Linked DNA regions of Notamacropus eugenii. The protein of the gene in region 1 interacts with the protein of each later gene in a pairwise test. Links are inferred from orthologs where the notes say so. Each region holds a gene or a part of one and is shown in the gene's direction. Other genes may lie near its edges.

The links.
Region 2: the proteins of KIFAP3 (region 1) and NCF2 interact in binary tests that used the Homo sapiens proteins (3 or more experiments, as listed by UniProt). The two-hybrid records come from large-scale screens. The link is inferred for Notamacropus eugenii from reciprocal best matches to the Homo sapiens genes KIFAP3 and NCF2.

Annotation. Positions count from the first base shown.
Region 1 is NC_092873.1:476,271,999-476,282,577, forward strand, and holds the start of KIFAP3 (kinesin-associated protein 3), read left to right. Parts: upstream 1-5,674; 5' UTR 5,675-5,759; coding exon 5,760-5,839; intron 5,840-10,579. UniProt on the Homo sapiens protein: Involved in tethering the chromosomes to the spindle pole and in chromosome movement. Binds to the tail domain of the KIF3A/KIF3B heterodimer to form a heterotrimeric KIF3 complex and may regulate the membrane binding of this complex.
Region 2 is NC_092873.1:461,481,679-461,491,747, forward strand, and holds the start of NCF2 (neutrophil cytosol factor 2), read left to right. Parts: upstream 1-6,249; 5' UTR 6,250-6,515; coding exon 6,516-6,689; intron 6,690-8,478; coding exon 8,479-8,561; intron 8,562-10,069. UniProt on the Homo sapiens protein: Subunit of the phagocyte NADPH oxidase complex that mediates the transfer of electrons from cytosolic NADPH to O2 to produce the superoxide anion (O2(-)).

The DNA of each region.
Region 1 (10,579 bases):
TCACCAGCTTTCTTTTTTTTTCAGTAATATCCAACTCTTCATGACCCCATTTGGGGTATTCTTGGCAAAGATTCTGGAGTTGTTTGCCATTTTCTTCTCTAGCGCATTTTACAGATAAGGAAACTGAGGCAAACAAAATTAAATGACTTGTCCAGGGTCAAACAGCTAGTGTCTAAGGTCAGATTTGAACACACAAAGATGAGTCTTCCTGACTCAAGGCCTGATACCCTATACACCCTATATACCCTATACATATAGTGGGCTATTGAAATAATACAAAATATAAGGTGATAAGTACATGCGCTAGATCAGTGGCAGTGTTGGAGCAGAGAAGAGGGCATACTTGAGAGATATTGTGAAAGTTAAGTTGACCGGCCTTGGCAACAGATTGGGATATGGGGGTGGGGCAGTTTAGGTAGTGGTGGGGTTTATGTGAGACATTGAGGAGTAAAAGATGACTCTTGGGCTGTATGTTTGAGTGTCTAGGAAAACAGTGATGTCCTTGACAAAAAATAGAGAAGTTTGGAGGAGTGCAAGGTTTGGGGGAAACATATGGAGCATTTATAATATTTATAAACATTTAGAAAAACCAGAATGTGCTTTAAAAAGAGCAAACCAGAAATGTAAGAAGATTAACCAATATAATCACATGAGAACTGGTTGAAGGAGCTGGGGATGTTTAGCCTGGAAGAGAAAATTTAGGGGAGATGTGATAGTTGTATCCAATTATTTGAAGGGCTAGCAAATGAAAAAGTAGTTAAGCTTGTTTTGTTTAGCCCCAGAAGGCAAAACTAGGAGTAATAAATAAATGATGAGAAGAGGTATATCTAGATTTGAAGTCAGGAAAAATTTCCAAATAATTAGAGCTATTCAAAGGGGCTGCTGGGTGGCATAGCGAATACAGTATCAGATCTGGAGTCAGGAAGACTTGTTTTCCTGAGTTCAAATCTGATCTTACGCCTATTAGCTGTGTGACCTTGGACAAGTCACTTAATGTAGTTTGCCTCAGTTCTACATCTGTAAAATGAGCTGGAGAAGGAAATGACAGACCACTCCAGTATCTGCCAAGAAAACCCTAAATGGGGTCACAGAGTCAGATGTGATGAAAATGGCTGAACAACAATGACAAAGTAAAGTGGGTTGGAGAGGGAATCAGCTCCCTTTAATTGAAGGTGCGGGGCTTTTGTGAAAGAAATTCTTGGCCAGATATAGGCTGGATTCCATGGCTCTGAAGTCGCTTATCAGCTCTGAGGTTTTCTATAAGCTTCATGGTAAGCACCATGTGTATATATCTATTATAGGCATATCTGTCATGAAGTGATTTTTTTTGGGGGGGGGGGGGGCTTTGGTAATACAAAGAAAACCACCTCTGTCAAATGCATTAATGTGTCTCTCCAAAGACAGTCTTTTCATTTAGCTGCAACTTCCTATCTACTTTACTATCTTTTATAGTAAGATTGTCAATATTGATGAGTCAGTTCCTCTAGGAGTATGTCAGCCCATTGGTAAATGAACATGGTGAGTCATCCCAGATTCACCTTGTCTGATTTTAACAAAGTTAATAAGCTAATAGAGTAAGGGAAATCTGTAGACATAGATTACCTAGATTTCAGCTAGCATTTTACAGAGCCTCTCATTCTATCTTTGTAGACAAGATAGAGATATGAGCTAGAGTTCATCATAGTCAGTTAGATACAGAATTGGTTGAATTAGTTGGGATGAAAGAGGAACCATCGATGTTTCAATGTCACCTTGGAGGGAGACATCTGATAAAATGACATGTAAATCTGTGCAAGGTCTTATGTTGGACAATGTTTTCATCATTGACTGGAATGAAGACACAGACACATATCAAGTTTTTTAATGACACAAAACTGAGATGGATAGAAGATCCAAAATTAGCTCAACAGTTTAGAATGCTAAGCCAAATATAATACAATAAAATTTAATGAGATATTTCTATACTTGAGATGCAAAGAATCAGTTTTAAATTTTAAAATTAGAATTAACTAAGACAGGAGAAATGACTAGAAATTAGTTCATTTTACAAGGAACTGGGGGGTTTTAGTAGAATGCAAGCTCAGTACCAGTTAGTGGTATGATATGTTAGTCAAAAAAAGCCTAAGGAATTTTAGTTTACATTAAGAGTGGCATAGCATACAGGACTAGCAAGGTGACAGTCTCACTGTGCTTTACCCTAGTTAGAATTCACCTAGAGTACTGTGTTCAGTTCTAGGTGCCATATTTTAGGAAGTGCATTGACAAACTAAAGTTTATCCAGAGAAGAATCATCAGGAAGTTCAATTCTTTTAAGGACAAGTTGAATGAAATGAGGGTACTTAATATGGAGAAGAGAAGACAGAATGCACCGATTATTTTCAGATATTTGAAGAACTGTCATTAGATTTGTTTTTATTTGTCCTCTAGGGTAAAACTAGGAATAATGCGTAGGAGTTGCAAAAAAAAAAAAAAGAAAGGCAGGCAGGCAGGCAGGCAGGAGGGAAGGAAGGAAGGAAGGAAGGAAGGAAGGAAGGAAGGAAGGAAGGAAGGAAGGAAGGAAGGAAGGAAGGAAGGAAGGAAGGATAGGAAAGGAAAGGAAAGGAAAGGAAAGGAAAGGAAAGGAAGGAAGGAAGAGAGGAAAATGCCCAGAAGAGACTATAAACCAGGTGGCACTCATGATACCAACAAAGTGATGCCCAAAAGAAAGAAAAGAGAGCAATATGATGGCATCACCAGAGAACAGCAGTAGCCTTGTATTATCAGGCGTTAAACTGAACACATACAAATCCTAGCCACATACTTTCCCTTACAAGTATGCTCTCCCATGTCTGAGATCTATAAATGTCCATTTTTCCTGTTGATGGTGAGTATATTTGAGGGAGAATGTGCTCCAATTTTAGAGGAGGATAATTCCATACCTTCTTTTCTTATTATGTTATTTTATTAAATACTTTTGCTTTGATCAAAATATGTCCCATTAGTTATAGCTCATGGAGTGGTTGCTATTCCATGAAAGTACCTAGAGTCAGGATATACTGGACAATACTTGTGAGCAAATGTACCCTCTAAGTGATAAATTAGTATCCAATATTTCTCTTGCCTCCCCCGTCTTAGCTATCATGATTCTTTGGGATAAGGTATATTCCTCCATAGCTTTATTCCAGTTATAGATCTCATTCCACCAATTCTTGGTGATACTTATGAGGTCAAAAATGACACCTTGAGCATGAACATCAATGGGGAATGGCTGAACAAGTTGTTGTATATAATTGTAATGGAATATTATTGTGTTATAAGAATGATGATTAGGATCATTTCAGAAAAACCTGGAAAGGACTTATATGAATTGATGCAAAGTGAAGTGAGCAGAACCAGGAGAACCTTGTACCCAGTAACAGCAATATTATACAATAAACATCTATGAATGACTTAGCTATTTTCAGCAATGCAATGATTCAACACAATCTCAAAGGACTCGTGATGCTGCTTCCAAAAAAAGAACTGATGACACCTAATAAAAACTAAAGCATACTATTTTTCTCTTTCTTTCTTCCTCTTTAGTTAGAGTTTCCTTCCACAAGGCTGTTGTGATGAAAGTTGTAACTATTTCAAGTACCCCAGCAAGATGATCTCTATCTGCAGAAATGAAGAGAAGTAGTGGAAGAGAGCGGAATCCAAACTAGATTTAGAGTCAGGACACTTGGATTTTAATCCCAACCACACATACTACCCACATGACCCTGGGATATTAACCTCCTCTCTCTGGAGCCCAATATTCTCATTGTAAAAAGAAAAGCTTGGACTAAAATGATCTCCAATGTTCCTTCTGGTCTTGTAACCCATAATAGGACAAGTACATGCTCCTCAGTGACCAAATAACATAATACCTGCTTCCAGTGGACATTTCTGTCAACAGCCAAGATCAGTGTCAACTGTCACTCTCTTCCAGCTTTAAAATTACATGATTCTGTAACTTGCTGCTACAAAACCATTTTCCATATTCAGTTGGTCCTGTTCTGAAATGAAGAATTTTGGCAATCAACGTGCTCCCTCTAGCTCCAAATTCACTGAATATTTCAAACCCCGAAATGAAATTTTCTGACAGCATGATAGAGATGAGCCGATAAGTTGAACAAAAATTGTTCACCATATAAGAACATGCTAGAAGGTAAGCACAGCTGAAAGTATCACTGCATTATCCAGGAGACAACAAACACACAAATACATACACATATAGATACAACACACATATTCCTATGTATGTGTGTATATAAACATATATGTGTGTGTATGCATATATACATATATGTGTATATACATACACATATAAAACTAACCATGTGTTGGACAATGAATATTGCTGGAAAAAAATATAGAAACAATGATATGATTAGTAATGAAGCTAACATAATGTTGGGCTTCATTATTAAAAGTAAAAATGAAGGAAGTGAAAATATTACGTTTAGTCTGGGAGCCATTTTTAAAGGAGAGATCATTGGTGTATGAGAATGAGTAGGTGAACTTTATAGCTTGATATAAGGTAACATTTCCTAAGAACTAGATCTGTCCAGAAGTTGAATAAGCTACCTTGGGAAGTGGTGGGTCTCCTTTGGTGGAAATTTTCAGACAAAAGCTGCATGACTACTTTGGGTTATTTTAGAGGAGATTCTTACCCAGGAACTGCTTAGAATAGACGTCCATGAAGGTTCATTTTAACTCTAAATTTTTTTGTTCTATGATTCTAATCTCCTCACTTTCATATTCTTTGCCTTATCCACCTTATATAACATTGCCAAACTGATCTTCCTAACGAATAGACCTGATCACATTTCTCTTTCACAAAACCTTCTATAGTTTCCCATAGATTCCCATCTATAAATTTCAAACTGCTTATTCTAGAATTCATGACCCTCCATAACCCTGCTCCAACCTACATTCTTGTTCTTACCTTGCTATTCATCTCATTCAAATGTCCTCTACTCCAACTAACTGGGGATGGTTATAGTCCCTTGAATATAGCCTGATGTATCTAGCACTTGTGACTATTGTTCAAAGTATTTCTTGTGATGAGAATGTCCTCTCTCCCTTAAATCTGTCAGTTGAAATTCCGTTTTTCCTTTAAGGTCCAGCTCAGATATCACTTTATCTAGGTATTCTTCCTTGGGCTCCCTCAGTTAGATGTAACCCATCTCTCCTGTGAACTTTCATAGTCTCTGTTTTCTACTCCTTTTACTGATTTTTTGTATATACTTCTTCTATACAGCCTACATTTAGAATATAAATTCCTCAAGGGCAGAGACTTGCGTATCATTATGTGTCTTTGTGTCCACCGTGACTCCTTGGGAAGTGACTTTCACATAGTAGAAATACAATCAATAAATATCTGTCCAACTGAAATGAAACATATATTTGGATAACAACTACATCATTATTAAACACATTTGAGTGAGATACATCACACTGCTTTATCTCACTGGATTCTCAAAACATAATTTGGGCCCCAAAAAGAATGAGAAAGGAGAAACGTAAAGAGATCGAATGCCATTGTCATAGTGGGACTTTGTCTCCCTCTTCATCCAGAGCTTACTGGGAGTGTGATGATGTCATAGTTGTTGCCCTCTCTGTCACGCCAGCTGTAAACAAGGCGGGGTGGGGGGAGGTCATCAGGGAGCAGATTTCTTTGAAATGCCTTTTCAACTGAAGACTCCTTTGCAGTAAGGTGTGCAATGTGAGCTCAGGTTAACTTGAAAGGTGGGAAGATGACTGCATTAATAGGCAGTGGAAGCGGGCTCTTTGGGCCTCAGTGGCCCTTTGATGACATCCCAAAGGCCGTAACCAGGTAAGGAAGGCTCGTGAGAAAGCAGAGGCTATTGATGTTGAAAGGTTCTGAGTGTGTTTGAAGGACTGGTTCTTCTGTTATCTTAAGCCTCAGATGCTTCCCAGGCACCTGTAGTTTTCAGACAGCAGAATGTAAACTCATTGAGGACTTTTTGTTTTCTTGTCTAAGCACTCACGTACTGAAGGCCCTCAATGAAGGCGTGTTGAATTGAAGTAAATTGAATTTCTCTTTAAGCTCAAGTTATCTGTCCCATGAGGAAATAATTGACGAGTCAATTAAAATACTTTTTTATTATGTCTTTTCATTGTTACTTAACACACAGACACACACACACAGAGTCTATATCTATACCAAAAAAATTTAATTTCACCTCACTAGACGTGTCAGCAAATTGTTCTTTCTTGTCCTATACGTCTTCTGTCTTCCGTGATACTGTCAAGTCTTCACTTTCCAATCGCCTAGTTGCTCTTGATTTTCTTGTAGTTTATAACACTTCTAGGGCAGCTAGGTGGTGCCATAGCGCATCAAGAGCCAGGCTTGAGTCAAGAAGACTCTTCTTCCTGAGATCAAATTGGGCTTCAGATACTTAGTAGCTGTGGGACTCTGGACAAGTCATTTAACCCTGTTGGCCTCAAGGTCTTCATCTGTAAAATGAGCTGGAGAAGAAAATGGCAAACCACTCCAGTATGTTTTCCAAGAAAACCCCCAATGGGTCAGACATAATTGAGAAAACTGACAACAGCAACAATGTAACATCTCTAAATGGATCTTGTGTCAATTTCTGATCCCTGGGACAACATCTGGTCATGGCTCTCAAGTCTCTTTCACCAGTTAAATAACCCCATCCTTTTTATATGTTCTGATATTCAATCCTTCCCCATTTCTTTTCCTACCTACCCTCCACATTTTCCCAACCACATTAACCTTCTTGCTGCCCTTTATACTTTGGTCTTCCTTTTCCATCTCTTCATTTTGAACAAGACTGCCCAAAGGGCACAGAATAGGGTATTTATTTCCATCCTCTTTAAGGAAGGAGTTCACTCCTATCCTTTAAATCACTGCAAAAGTTTTCCAAAAGTAACAGCAAGCAGTCTTCAGTCATCAATACAATTCTTAACTCTCCTCTGGGATGTTCTTGAAATTAGTGTATTTATATACACTTAGGCTGATCGCACGTTTGTCACGTAAGCTTCCTGAAGAGTAGGGACTGTATCTAATTTTTGTTATATATCCCAAAGCACCTAAGGCTACCAGTACCCTGCATCCTGTGAATATTTACTGACTGACTTAACTGAGTTGTTGAGATCAAAAGAATGGGGATGTTAAAGGAGCTCAGAACTAAGACTACAGAATAATTATAGCTTAATTTCATTGTAAAGTACTAAAGGACAGGAACTATGCCTGTTTCAGCTTACTTGGGTTTTGTGCCCAGTGAGTCATATGGGTATTTACAAAAAATTATTTGACTATGAAAACATATAATTTATATAAAAAGAAAGTAAAAATTTTACCCACTCTCTCTGCCAGTTCCTTTTCAGAGATGTCATTCTTCTCTTGTGATTATCAACCTAGACAAACTTACATATAATTTCTCTCTGTCTCTCTCCCTCTCTCAAATTGATTTCCATGATGACTAGATAAAATTAAAACTTCACAAATACTTTTATTTGTAAGCGTATTTTCCCACAGCCTCTCTAACAATAGTCATTTTCCTTTCTTGTCTTTTTTGCCAATCCGAAGGGTTGGAGATAGGATCTCAAAGTTACTTTAACTTGAATTTACTTTATTAAGTGATTTCAGGAATTTTATTCATGTAATTATTGATAACTTGGATTTATTCTTTTGAAAACTGTCTATAGCTTTTAACCATTTATTTATTGGGAGATGGGTGCTGTTCTTAGGAATAAATATCTTGAATATGAGACCTGTATCAGGGAAATTTCCTGCGAAGATTTGTCCTTATTTAACTGTTTTCTTTCTGATCCTATCTGCACGGGTTTTGTTGTGCAAAACCTTTTAAATTTTCCATAATCAAAATTGTCCACTTTTTCTTTTGACATCTTTGTCCCTTGCTTGGTCATGATCTTTCTCTCTCCCATAGGCCCAACCCAACAGGAAATTTCTTCCTTGCTCCTCTCAATTTGTTTATAATGTTAAGCTTATGTCTAAGTCATATTCATTAGGAGCTTATCTTGGTTACATGGTGTAAGATGTTGGTCAATGTCTAATTTTTGCTAAACAGTTCATATTTTTCCAGTAGGTTTTTTTTTTCCTTCTTTTCAAATAGTGAATCCTTTCCCCAGCATCTAGTCCTTGGATTTATCAAACTCTATGGTACTGTGTTCATTTGCTTCCATATGTTGTATGCCCAATCTGTTCCACTAATCAGTGAACATTTATTAAGTGCCTATTTTGTATCTCCTAGTTTTTAAACCTTTACCAAATAATTTTGATGATTACAGATTTGTAGTTTAATTCCATCTTGAGGAAAGAGGAAAAGCTTTTCCTTGTAATTGCATGTAATTTTGTTTAATGCTAATCTCCCTTACTTCCCACTTTTTTTATTACTTCCTTTGAGATTCTTGCCTTTTTATTCCTCCAGATAAATTGTTGTTTTTTTCTATGTTTATAAACACACACACGCAGCTATATCACAGGTTTTTAATTCTTTCTTATAATCATCCTTACATTCTTCATGTCATGCTCCTCCCTCTGATGTTGGAGTTTTTAAATTTGTTTTGGGGGGGCGGAGCCAAGATGGCGGAGTAGAAAGACGCACATACACATAGCTCTGAACCCACAACCCATAGAATGGCTACAGGGAAGTAACTCACGGCGAATTCCGCACCCAGAGGCCACGGAACATTGGAGCGAGGGAGATTTCGGTTCCAGAGAGACCTGCAAACCTCTTGCGGGGGGTCCTTCGCACTGCGGACTGGGCGCCGGGACTGGGAGCTGAGCGCAGCCCTGCCGCGGCCGCGGCACCGAGAGGAAAAGATCCGAGCAGGCTTCACAGACAGGATCTCCAGTGGCCACGCGGGTCCCTCCACCCACAGAGGGATCTGCAAACCTCTCGCAAAAGGTCCGTCGCGCTGCAGACACAAAGCTCAGCCGAGACCTGCTGCGGCCACGGCTGCGGCACCGAGAGAAACAGATCCGAGCAGGCTTCAGGGACGGGATCTCCAGCGGCCGCACAAGTCCCTCCACCCACAGGTGACAGGGGTGGGTGAGAGAGTCTCTTTGGCGGGTCGAGAGGGGAGTGGGGTGCCCCCATAATTCAGGCCCCCCCGGGAGGTAGAAGCTGAGAGGCGGCTGCAGACAGGGGCTCCCCAAGCAGGCGGGAGCCTGAATCCATTGTGGAAGGTCTGTGCATAAACCCCCTGAGGGAACTGAGCCTGAGAGGTGGCCCTGCCCCGACCTCAGCACCAGAACATAATCTCATACTGAATAGCAGCCCTGCCCCCGCCAAAAGCCCTGAGGCTGGAAGCAGCATTTGAATCTCACACCCCAAACGCTGGCTGGGAAGATCAGGAGGCGAGGTGGGTGTGAGGAGAATATTCAGAGGTCAAGTCACTGGCTGGGAAAATGCCCAGAAAAGGGAAAAGAAATAAGACTATAGAAGGTTACTTTCTTGGCGAACAGGCATTTCCTCCCTTCCTTTCTGATGAGGAAGAACAATGCTTACCATCAGGCAAAGACACAGAAATCAAGGCTTCTGTGTCCCAGCCCACCCAATGGGCTCAGGCCATGGAAGAGCTCAAAAAGAATTTTGAAAATCAAGTTAGAGAGGTAGAGGAAAAGCTGGGAAGAGAAATGAGAGACATGAAGTCAAAGCATGAACAGCAGATCAGCTCCCTGCTAAGGGAGACCCAAAAAAATGTTGCAGAAATTAACACCTTGAAAACTAGCCTAACTCAATTGGCAAAAGAGGTTCAAAAAGCCAATGAGGAGAAGAATGCTTTCAAAAGCAGAATTAGCCAAATGGAAAAGGAGATTCAAAAGCTCACTGAAGAAAATAGTTCTTTCAAAATTAGAATGGCACAGATGGAGGCTAATGACTTTATGCAAAACCAAGAAATCACAGAACAAAGAGAGAAGAATGGAAAAATGGAAGATAATGTGAAATATCTCATTGGAAAAACAACAGACCTGGAAAATAGATCCAGGAGAGACAATTTAAAAATTATGGGACTACCTGAAAGCCATGATCAAAAGAAGAGCCTAGACATCATCTTTCATGAAATTATCAAGGAAAACTGCCCTGAGATTCTAGAACCACAGGGCAAAATAAATATTCAAGGAATCCACAGAACACCGCCTGAAAGAGATCCAAAAAGAGAAACTCCTAGGAACATTGTGGCCAAATTCCAGAGTTCCCAGGTCAAGGAGAAAATACTGCAGGCAGCTAGAAAGAAACAATTCAAGTATTATGGAAATACAATCAGGATAACACAAGATCTAGCAGCCTCTACATTAAGGGATCGAAGGGCATGGAATAGGATATTCCAGAAGTCAAAGGAACTAGGACTAAAACCAAGAATCACCTACCCAGCAAAACTGACTATAATACTTCAGGGGAAAAAATGGTCTTTCAATGAAATAGAGGATTTTCAAGTATTCTTGATGAAAAGACCAGAGCTGAAAAGAAAATTTGACTTTCAAACACAAGAATGAAGAGAACCATGAAAAGGTGAACAGCAAAGTGAAATCATAAGGGACTTACTAAAGCTGAACTGTTTA
Region 2 (10,069 bases), about 15 Mb from region 1:
TATTGGAGCAAGCAAGACCTAAGATGAAACCAAAGTTTAGATTTCAAGACTGCTGAATAGAATTCTACTCTCTGTGGTTTTATGGTTTGAGTGTTGGGCCATCCCAGCCTACAGGGAAATGCTGTTATCCTTAGTTCATTTGCTACCCTGCTCCTTCTACCCAAAAATGCTCAAGAGTCCTTGACCATTTTTATCTCTTAAAGTTTTCACAGCCTTCTTATTTGATGTGCTGGAAACCACAAGATCTTGGAAACTATATAGTTCAATTTCCTACCCCATGTGTGACTCTCATCTGCAATATCCCTGATGATCATCTATCCTGTTCCCTAATACCTCCAGTTCCTTATACCAGTAATTTCCACAATACTTGAATTGTTTCTTTCTAGCTGCTTGCAATATTTTCTCCTTGACCAGGGAACTCTGGAATTTGGCCACAATGTTCCTAGGAGTTTCTCTTTTTGGATCTCTTTCAGGAAGTGATCGGTGAATTCTTTCAATATTTATTTTGTGCCCTGGTTCTAGAATATCAGGGCAGTTTTCCTTGATAATTTCATGAAATATGATGTCTAGGCTCTTTTTTTGATCATGGCTTTCAGGTAGTCCCATAATTTTTAAATTGTCTCTCCTGGATCTATTTTCCAGGTCAGTTGTTTTTCCAATGAGAGATTTCACATTATCTTCGATTTTTTCATTCTTTTGGGGGGTTTTTTTGTGATTTCTTGGTTTCTCATAAAGTCATTAGCCTCCATCTGTTCCATTCTAATTTTGAAAGAACTATTTTCTCCAGTGAGCTTTTGAACCTCCTTTTCCATTTGGCTAATTCTGCTTTTTAAAGCATTCTTCTCCTCATTGGCTTTTTGAACCTCTTTTGCCAATTGAGTTAGCCTATTTTTGAAGGTGTTATTTTCTTCAACCTTTTTTGGGGTCTCCTTTAGCAACGTGTTGACCCACTTTTCATGCTTTTTCTTGCATCTCTCTCATTTCTCTTCCCAGTTTTGCCTCCACCTCTCTTACTTGATTTTCAAAATCCTTTTTGAGCTCTTCCATGGCCTGAGACCATTGAATATTTATTTTGGATGTTTGGGATACAGAAGCCTTGACTTTTATGTCTTTCCCTGATGGTAAGCATTGTTCTTCCTCATCGAAAGGATGGGAGAGGATATCTGTTCATCAAGAAAGTAACCTTCTATGGTCTTATTTTTTTCCCATTTTGGGGGCATTTTCCCAACCAGTTACTTGACTTTTGGGTCCTTTGTCAAGAGTAGGGTATTCTCTGGGAATCTGTAAAATCTCAGTTCCTCCAAGGTGGCACAATCAAGCGTGTACTGGTCTGGGTGTAGGGAGTGATTTTTGTGCCCAGAATCTTAGCAGTTACCTCTCCACAGCCACCTGGCCTCCAGTTCTTCCAAGTCAGCACTGGGGGCTGATTTTCAGATAAGCTAGATGGGCAGGGCTGCCATTCAGTGTGAGACAAAGACCAGCTCCCCCAGGGCCTCCACACAGGGCTGAGGCAAGAGTCAGCTCCTCAGTGCCCCCAGGGTTTTTATGCTCCAACAATGGATGTGGCTGCTGCGCCTGCCAATGTGACCTCTGTGGCAGCTGCCTAAGGCCAGAGATATGGAAAGGCCCTTCTCCCTTCCTGGCCAACTGAAAAAACCCCGTCACTGACCTTTGGCGCCTGTGGGTTGAGGGATCTGTGAACCTGCTACTGCTGTGACTGGGGATTCGCTGCTACTGTGACTGGAGATTCTGCCCCTGAGGTGTCCTCCTCCCAGAGCAGTACTGCACGGCCAAGGCTGGGCTGGGCTGTGCTCCATGTCCTGTATAACAGATGTTTCCCATGGGCCTTTCAGGTCACCCTGGGCTAGAAATCTCCTCCACTCTCTCGTTCTCCACTTCTGCTGCTCCAGAATTTGTTGAGAGTCCCTCTCTACAGGTATTTTACGGGCTGTGTGGGGAAAGCCTCCGTATCTATGTCTTTCTACTCTGCCATCTTTCTCCTTATACCAGTAAGATCACAAATCTTGTTCCTATCACTAGAATATACTCAAATGAACATAATCCTCCATATGTGGTCTGGCCACAATAGAGTATAGTGAGACTATTATTTCTCCTGACTTGTTCAATATAGTTTTTATTAATGCTGTTTTAGCATATTAGGTCTCTTAGCAACTACATCATACCATCGGCTTACAGTAAGCTTGTGGTCAACTAAAACTTACCACTTCATAGATCTTTTTTCATATGAACTGCTGCCAAGGCAGGCATAGCTCCTTTAGATTTATGGACCCTAGAGGAATGGCAGAGTTATTAGAAAGGATCTACAAAAAGGCTATCAGCCATGGGCATTTTGATCTTTAACAAATAAACCTTCTGTTGACTGAATATGTCTCACATGTATATGTGTATATGTGCTCTTTTAAAAAATTATAATTAATCTTTTTTATATCATCTATATTTTGTATTATGCTATTTGAATATGTGTACATGCTGTTGTGATAAAATATAAATTTATTTAAAAGCTATTATGTCTTTTCTTAATCAACTGATACTGAGTATATATTTTATCAAAGGGATCCTCACACTTGAAAAGATTGGGAACCACTTTACTAGGCTTTGAAAGTCAGTTTATTTCCCAACATCATTCCTTATTGAGTGTCTCTGCACCATTTATGGGTGGGGGCTAGGAAAGAGTAGAGAGAAGAGAGATTCCAGATGGGAGGGCAGCTGACTAAAAAGAAGACTTCATTCTTCTGGTTCAGGCAGAGGAGAGGAGAAAGGAGGAGAGGGGAAGATGGGAGAGGGGAGAGGGAAGGGGAGGGGAGGGAAAGGGGAAGAGAGAAGGGAGGGAGAGAGAAAAGAAAATAGAGATATGTTGTTTCAGTCTTGTCTGGCTCTTCATGACCCCATTTGGGGTTTTCTTGGCAAAGATACTGGAGTGATTTGCCATTTCCATCTCTAGCATATTTTACAGATAAGGCAAACAGGATTAAGTGACTTGTCCAGGGTCACACAGCTAGTAAATGTCCAAAGTCAGATTTGAACTCAGAAAGATGAGTCTTAGAAGGGGTCCATAAGTTTCACCAGACTGCCCAAGGGGTCTGTGACACAATAAAAGGCTAAGAGCCCCTGGTTGAGTCTAATCCCTTCATTTTATAAATAAGGAAACTAGACCCAGAGAGGTAAGTGCTAGAGTTGTAATCCAAATCTCCTGTCATCAAATCTAGCACTCTTTCTACCACACAACATGGTGGTTGAGAGTTCCTAGGATTTATGTATTTTGGTTCCATAAGTTTCCCAGCTTTTCCACAAACACAGAAAGAAATGGGGTGTACTTGCTTTATAACTGACCATATTCATCCTACAGGGACCTTAGTATATTGTAGATAGTAAAACCCCATTAATAGACCTGGAATCCCTTAATTCAAAATTAATGAGTTATTTGTTCAGGAATTGAGCAAAACACTAACCTTTCTGTTTAATTATGATAAATTTATTTCCTAAGCAAAGGAATAGTGTGCTCAAAACTGTAGAAGATAAGCTGTTTTCAACTTTTAAAACCAATTTAGCAATGCTTATTTGCTTATAGTTAATATGCTCATTATAAGTTATTCTTATTTATTTATTAAATCAGTTTCCTCGTCTGTCAAATGAGCTGGAAAAGGAAATGGCAAAACTCCAGTATCTTTGAAAACCCCAAATGGGGTCATGAAGAGCCAGATATGACTGAAACAAGCCAACAACAACAAATTCCCTCAGTTATTTCATTTCAGTACTGTTTTGCTATATTGATCTTTTAAGGACAATAGGAAAAAGATTCAGATTTTCAAGGACAGAGTTAACTTCATTGGCCATCAATGTAAATGGCTCTATAAACTTTCCAATTCTTCTCCAGTGGCTCCAATTTTTCTTAGTAGGGGGATAGGAAATTTTAATTTGTAGTTGTCATGCCCTTAACCCTGACCACCTGATGATCAAGATTTTGCAAGTATTCCCCAGAAAAGGAAATGTTAGAAATAGAATGAGGGAAGTAATCTCAGAAGTGAAGCATGATCCTATGACCCTATAACAAATTACAGATGACCTTTGCCAACTGTGTGATATGACATGAGCCAATCACTCCCCAATACTACAACTTGTACCCAGTCCTTGGGTAGCTTGGTAGCATAGTCAATCACAAAGGACAGCAATTAGATAGATAGATAAACAGACAGACAGACAGACAGAGAGACAGAGAGACAGAGAGACAGACAGACAGACAGACAGACAGATAGATAGATAGATAGATAGATAGATAGATAGATAGATAGATAGATAGATAGATAGATGATAGATAGATAGGTGGATGGAGTGGATAGATAAGAAAAAGAAAGAGAAAAAAGAAATATGGATAGATAGATGGATGGATGGATGAATGTATGTATGGATGAAACATTTGTTAATCACTTAATATGTGCAGGTACTCTGCTAAGCAAATAAGACAGACCCTACCTTCAATGAAACTATGTTTTAATGAGGGGAGACAACATATAAAGGGAATCTGGACATCAGAAGAAGGGGGTACATGAAGTGGCACAGATGCCTGCATCTATCTGTTAGATCCTACTATCCTGGGGGGCACAGTCCAAGGCTCCAGTGAAAGGGGAATCAGGTTAATGGCTAGAATGCAGACAGCCAGGTATGAAGATAGCTGAGATGTACTTATAGAGTAGAAAGAAGGCTGACTTTGGAATAAAAAGTCTTGGGTTCAAATTCCAGCTCTGCCACTTAACTACCTGGGTGATATTGGGTTGGTCACTTCATATCTCCAGACTTCATCAACTTCCTCATCTAAAGGAAATTGGACTAAGTGGCATGCAAAGCCCCTTCCAGTTCTAAACCTAGGATTCTATGAAACTAGGAGTGGGAAACATCCACAGAATGATGGAAACTCATTAACAGACACAAAGAAAAAGAAACCCCAAAACACCTGCCCATACTGCTGTGCTATCTCTTGAAATTGTCTTTCTCATCTCCTCTCCCTTTATTTCCAAGGATCCTATGGTTCTAATGCAATATTAGGGAAGACAGTTTTTGAAACACTAGTAGCAAACATTCAACATCTCCCTGTTTAAATGTGCTCATTGAAGGCAGTTTGAATATGAGCAGGAGTCCAAGGTAATCTCCAAAGCTCTTGTCTTTGTCTAGTTCCTTCTCCCCTCTGTGGTTCAGCTTTCCTTGCTGGACTAACAACAGTCATGTTTAGCTTCCAGGATTTCCATAAACATTCTGAGTTTTCATAAAAGAGAGCAGAGCCTGAAAAGGCTCTAATATCATTTTATGGAGAGAGCTAAAGAAACTATTATTCGTTGGAACAAAGAATGACTGAAAATGGGCATCCCAAGCTGAGATGGTGATGCTCTAAAGATGGAGGAAGTTCCTTAGAATCATGGATTGCTTTTTTAAATTAAATTTCATTTTATTTTTAGATCTGCATGCTATGCCTTCCACCTGTACACTCCTCCCCATCCCACTGAGAAAGTAATAAAACTAAAACCCCCTTTATAAGCATGTATAATCAAGAAAAACACATTTTTGTATTGAGCATGACCAAAAAAAGGTCTCTGTGCTCTTGGTCTATCACCTCTCCATCATGAGGCTGGCAGCAGGTTTCGTCCTGAATCTCTGGAATTGTAGTTGGTTACTAAGTCTTTCAAAGTAGTTTGTTGTCATCATATAGATTGTTCTGGGTTTGCCTACTTCGTTGCATATCAGTTCCTATGATTCTTCTCTGGTTTCTCTGAAACTACCCTTTTCTTCAGTTCTTATAATATAATAACATTCCACCATATTCCCGCACCATAACTTATTTAACCATTTCTCAATGGATGGGCATGCCCTCAAGTTACCAATTCTTTGCCATCACTAAAAAAAGCTGCTATAAATATTTCATGAATATGACTTTTAAAAGAGCTCAGGGGAACTTTTGACTGAAGTATCACATCCAATCCCCTCCTTTTGCAGATGGGGAAACTGAGGAAGTAACTGATCCAAGGTCACACAGCTAGAAAGTGACAGTGCATGGCCCAGAAACACTAGTAAAAAGGTAAGACTTAGTTGGAGGGACTGATCATGGCAGAGCAGAATAGTTTAGAGGAACTGATCCATTGCAGTCAACACTTGTACTTCCTCTCTTTCCCCACCCCTCCCCTCCTCTCCACCCCCACCTCCCTTCTTCCCCTTGCCTCTCAGCAGGGTTACTAAAAGATGAGGACACTTCCTGACATGCTTACAACACAGAGAAGTCAGCTTGGAGAAGACTAGATCTTCTTCTGAGACCCACTTGAAAGGAAAAAATAAGACACTTGGTCCTACCCAGTCAAGAATAAGGGAGCCGAAGAGAGACCGTAGGGAACAGGCCCTGGTGGGAAAGACTTCCTCTCCATTGAGTGCTTTCTCTTCTGCCCCTGTTCTGCCTAATCCAAGTTGCTCTTTGGGCACAGTCTGGGTCTTTGCCTCCCAATTCTCATCTGGCCATGTCCTTAGCTGAGGTGATACGCCTTTGGAATGAAGGGGTGCTGGCAGCAGACAAGAAGGACTGGCATGGAGCCTTAAAGGCCTTCACTGGAGTTCAGGACCCCCATTCCCGGATTTCCTTCAACATAGGCTGTATCTATATGATTCTGGAAAACCTGCAGGAGGCAGAAAAGGTAAGTGAAAGACTCTTACTTCTGCTTTGTGCTTTCGTGGTATCTTCATGCACAATCATGTCTCCTGATGTGGGATGGTCTCTTCTCTTGCCCACCTCCAAATTGGATCCATCCATTGAAATCTGTCCTCTCTAGGAAGCCTTCTTTGACTATTCCCCCTTCTCTGAACTCTTCTTGTGCCACTTGGAGCAGACAACTTAGCATATGTTTTTAAACTATCTCATGTTAATCTCTAATTCATTTGACAATTAAATGGCTATCATATACCAAACACTCTACCAGGATGAGAGACCCACACAGTTTAATCTTTCATGCCAATCAGTACCATCTTCCCAACTAGATAATAAGTTGCCTGAGAAGATGGATGTGAATCAAATTGTGAAAGATTTTAATGTTATATGTAAATTATACTACCTCCTCCACAAAGTCTTTCCTTGTAGTTATCTATGTATGTGTCATATTCCTCTACTAGAGTAAACTGAATACAGGCAGGTCTATGTTATCATGGAGTGGATGAAAGAGTTTAGTCATGAAAGATCTGGTATTTACAGATAGTAAATGGACATATTGGTATGGATGAATATATTTGACTTCTCTCAGTTGTTGGCCCAAAACCTTAACTAGGATAGGGCCCCTTAGGCATTTGCCCCAGTGTGCCATCTTCCAGGAAAATATACTTTTGGGGGACAGGGGTGCGCACATATTTTCTCCATACTGCAACCTGGAGACAAGCATCCCTATGTCTAATGGAGACCTGTGTTCTGAAACTTTGAAGTCTTTGTTGGCTTCAGGATAAGGTGGAACCCGACTCCCTCACCCAGTACCACCTTCAGGAACATGAGGCCGGTGATCTTCTTGAGTCTCATAGCAACTCATAGAATTCATATGAGCTCCACAACGGAGGGAGAGGAAAATTGATTACCAGCTTGGGGTGAGGGGATAGAGAGTTAGGATCAGCAACGGTTTCAGGGAGGAGCTATCTCAGTGATGTCAAGCATTAAATTTATGCACAGATAAGTAGGTCAGGTAGTCAAACAAGTGACCCCAGAGGCAATCCACAAATAGATTCTAGTTCTGATATCTATATGTGCTGGTTGGAGATAAGAATATAAACAGATATGCTTCAAGGATAAAGAGTGGATTTCTTAGTAAACGGCAGTTGGTCCAAAGGACAGATAGGATGCACAAGAGATAGTGAGCCCTCCTGGAAAAAAAGTGTGTAGACAAGGAAAAAGTAGAAAGTTAGGGAGAGAATACAAGGACATCTATACTTACTGGTGATAGTTTTAGAGTTTACCCCTATGAGGTGCTTTTTGTCAAAAGCTTAGCAACAATGGAGAAGGTTGGAATGGAACGTTTGTGTGTGTGTGTATACATATATGTGTGTATACACATGCATATATACATATACACATGTGTATATATGCATGTGTGTACATATATGTGGATACACATGCATACATATATGTTTGTATGTGTATATATCCCTATTTTCCTTCTACTCCTAGTTTTAAAAAATCTTGAACTTTATTTCTCCTCTTCCTCCTCTTCTTCCTCCACCTATTGTCCTTCTAACTCCTTGTCTTTCTTGATATTCCCTTCTGACTTTGTGCCTTTGTCATCCCCAGAGGTAGCCATAAAATCTGGCTCCCTTTGCCCAGCCTCCAGATAGCTCTCTTCCAGACACCAGCCATCCTCAGCTCTCAGCCTAAGGTGACTGCCTTAACTCTTATCACCAGCTTTTTACTCTTACAAACCTATACACAAAAACACTTTCTCTTTCTTACAGGCTTTTACTGGGAGCATAAACCGAGACAAACATTTAGCAGTGGCTTATTTCCAACGAGGGATGGTCTTTTATAGGATGGAGAAGTAAGTCTTTGATATCACACAATGTTGGGAATGACATGAGGGTACCAGGAGGGATGTGGGTTTTGCTCTGTGTTCACTAAAAGTTTTTCCTAGTTTTATATCAAGAAGTTTGACTCTAGACTGAATGAAATATGAGTAATTAAGCAGAGTTCACATGTCTATAGTTTTGCAAAGTCCTTTCTTCATAGTAACCCTCCGGGAGGATAGGTGGTTCAAGAGTTATTATTTCTATTTTACAAAAGAAGAAACTGAGACTCAGAGAAGTTAGATGACTTTCCAAGATCATATAGGCAGTAAGCATCAGAGCTGGGGCTCAACATTGGGGCCTGCTAAATTCAGATTTAGTATCCTTCCCACTACAGCCTGCTGCCTCTCTTGTCATTATGCAGTAAACTCAGACACGGTCAAACCTCGACAGAGCATATTGTGATAGATACTGCTGCTTCAGACACGGGAAGACCGGACTCCAAGTCTCTCCACAGATATATGCTGTCTGAATGACCCCGAGGCAGCTCACCTACCCTCTCAGTAGTAACCTAATTCAGTTCTCTAACATTGTAAATTAGAGGAAGTTGCTTATCTGGATTATTAGAGGGAGCTTTCTTACTGGGAGTTTCCTATGCCAAGGAAATTATAGGACCAATAAAATAAACAAATAACTATTGAAAATATTTCTATAGGGCTAATATCAATGCTATGGTAATAGGTATTATTACCACTTCCGATTGGTAAGGTTGGGCAGTGAATCGAGTGCTGGATACGGAGTCAGGAAGACCTGATCTCAAATATTTATGTAATCCTGGACAATTCACTTCACCTCTGTTTGCCTCAGTTTTCTCATCTATTAAATGATGATAATACTGGAATCTTCTCCCCTCCACCCAGGGTTGTTGTGAGGATCAAATGAGATATTATTTGGAAAGTGCTTTGAAAACCCTAAAGTATTATATTATGCATATACATACACACACACATATAAATATATATCTGTTATTATTGTTTGTGGGAATGTTTTGGGGAATGTTATAACCACATCTGTAGTAGACCTATGTTTTAATGAGGTCTGGCATAAAAACTCTTGAAAACTATGTCTCACTTCAGTCAACATCTGCTTTTAAGAATCCCACTTAAAGTTCAAAAAAAACGGTTTTTAATTGTTTGCTTCAGAGGGTTTGCTTCAGAAGCAGTCTGTAAAAGGCAGCTGTTGCTAGGGGCAACATCATCTACAAATTTCTACAAAGAGGCAAAGATCTTGAAGGGTCTTTTTTTTTATGAGAAAAGGAGACAGAGAAGACAGTTCATGTGGAAAGAAACATTTGAGTGGAAATACAGGTGCTAGGCATGAGGGCTTCTGCCCTTTCAGAATGATACTCCACATGCTTGGTGTTCTCTCTGTTCTTTGATTACTCCAGAGGGAATCCATAGAGAGAGCCAAAGGGAGCACAGGACACGTCTTCCAGCTGACTCCAACTAGGAAGATAAAGTAAAGCCATTCCTCTCATCAGCTC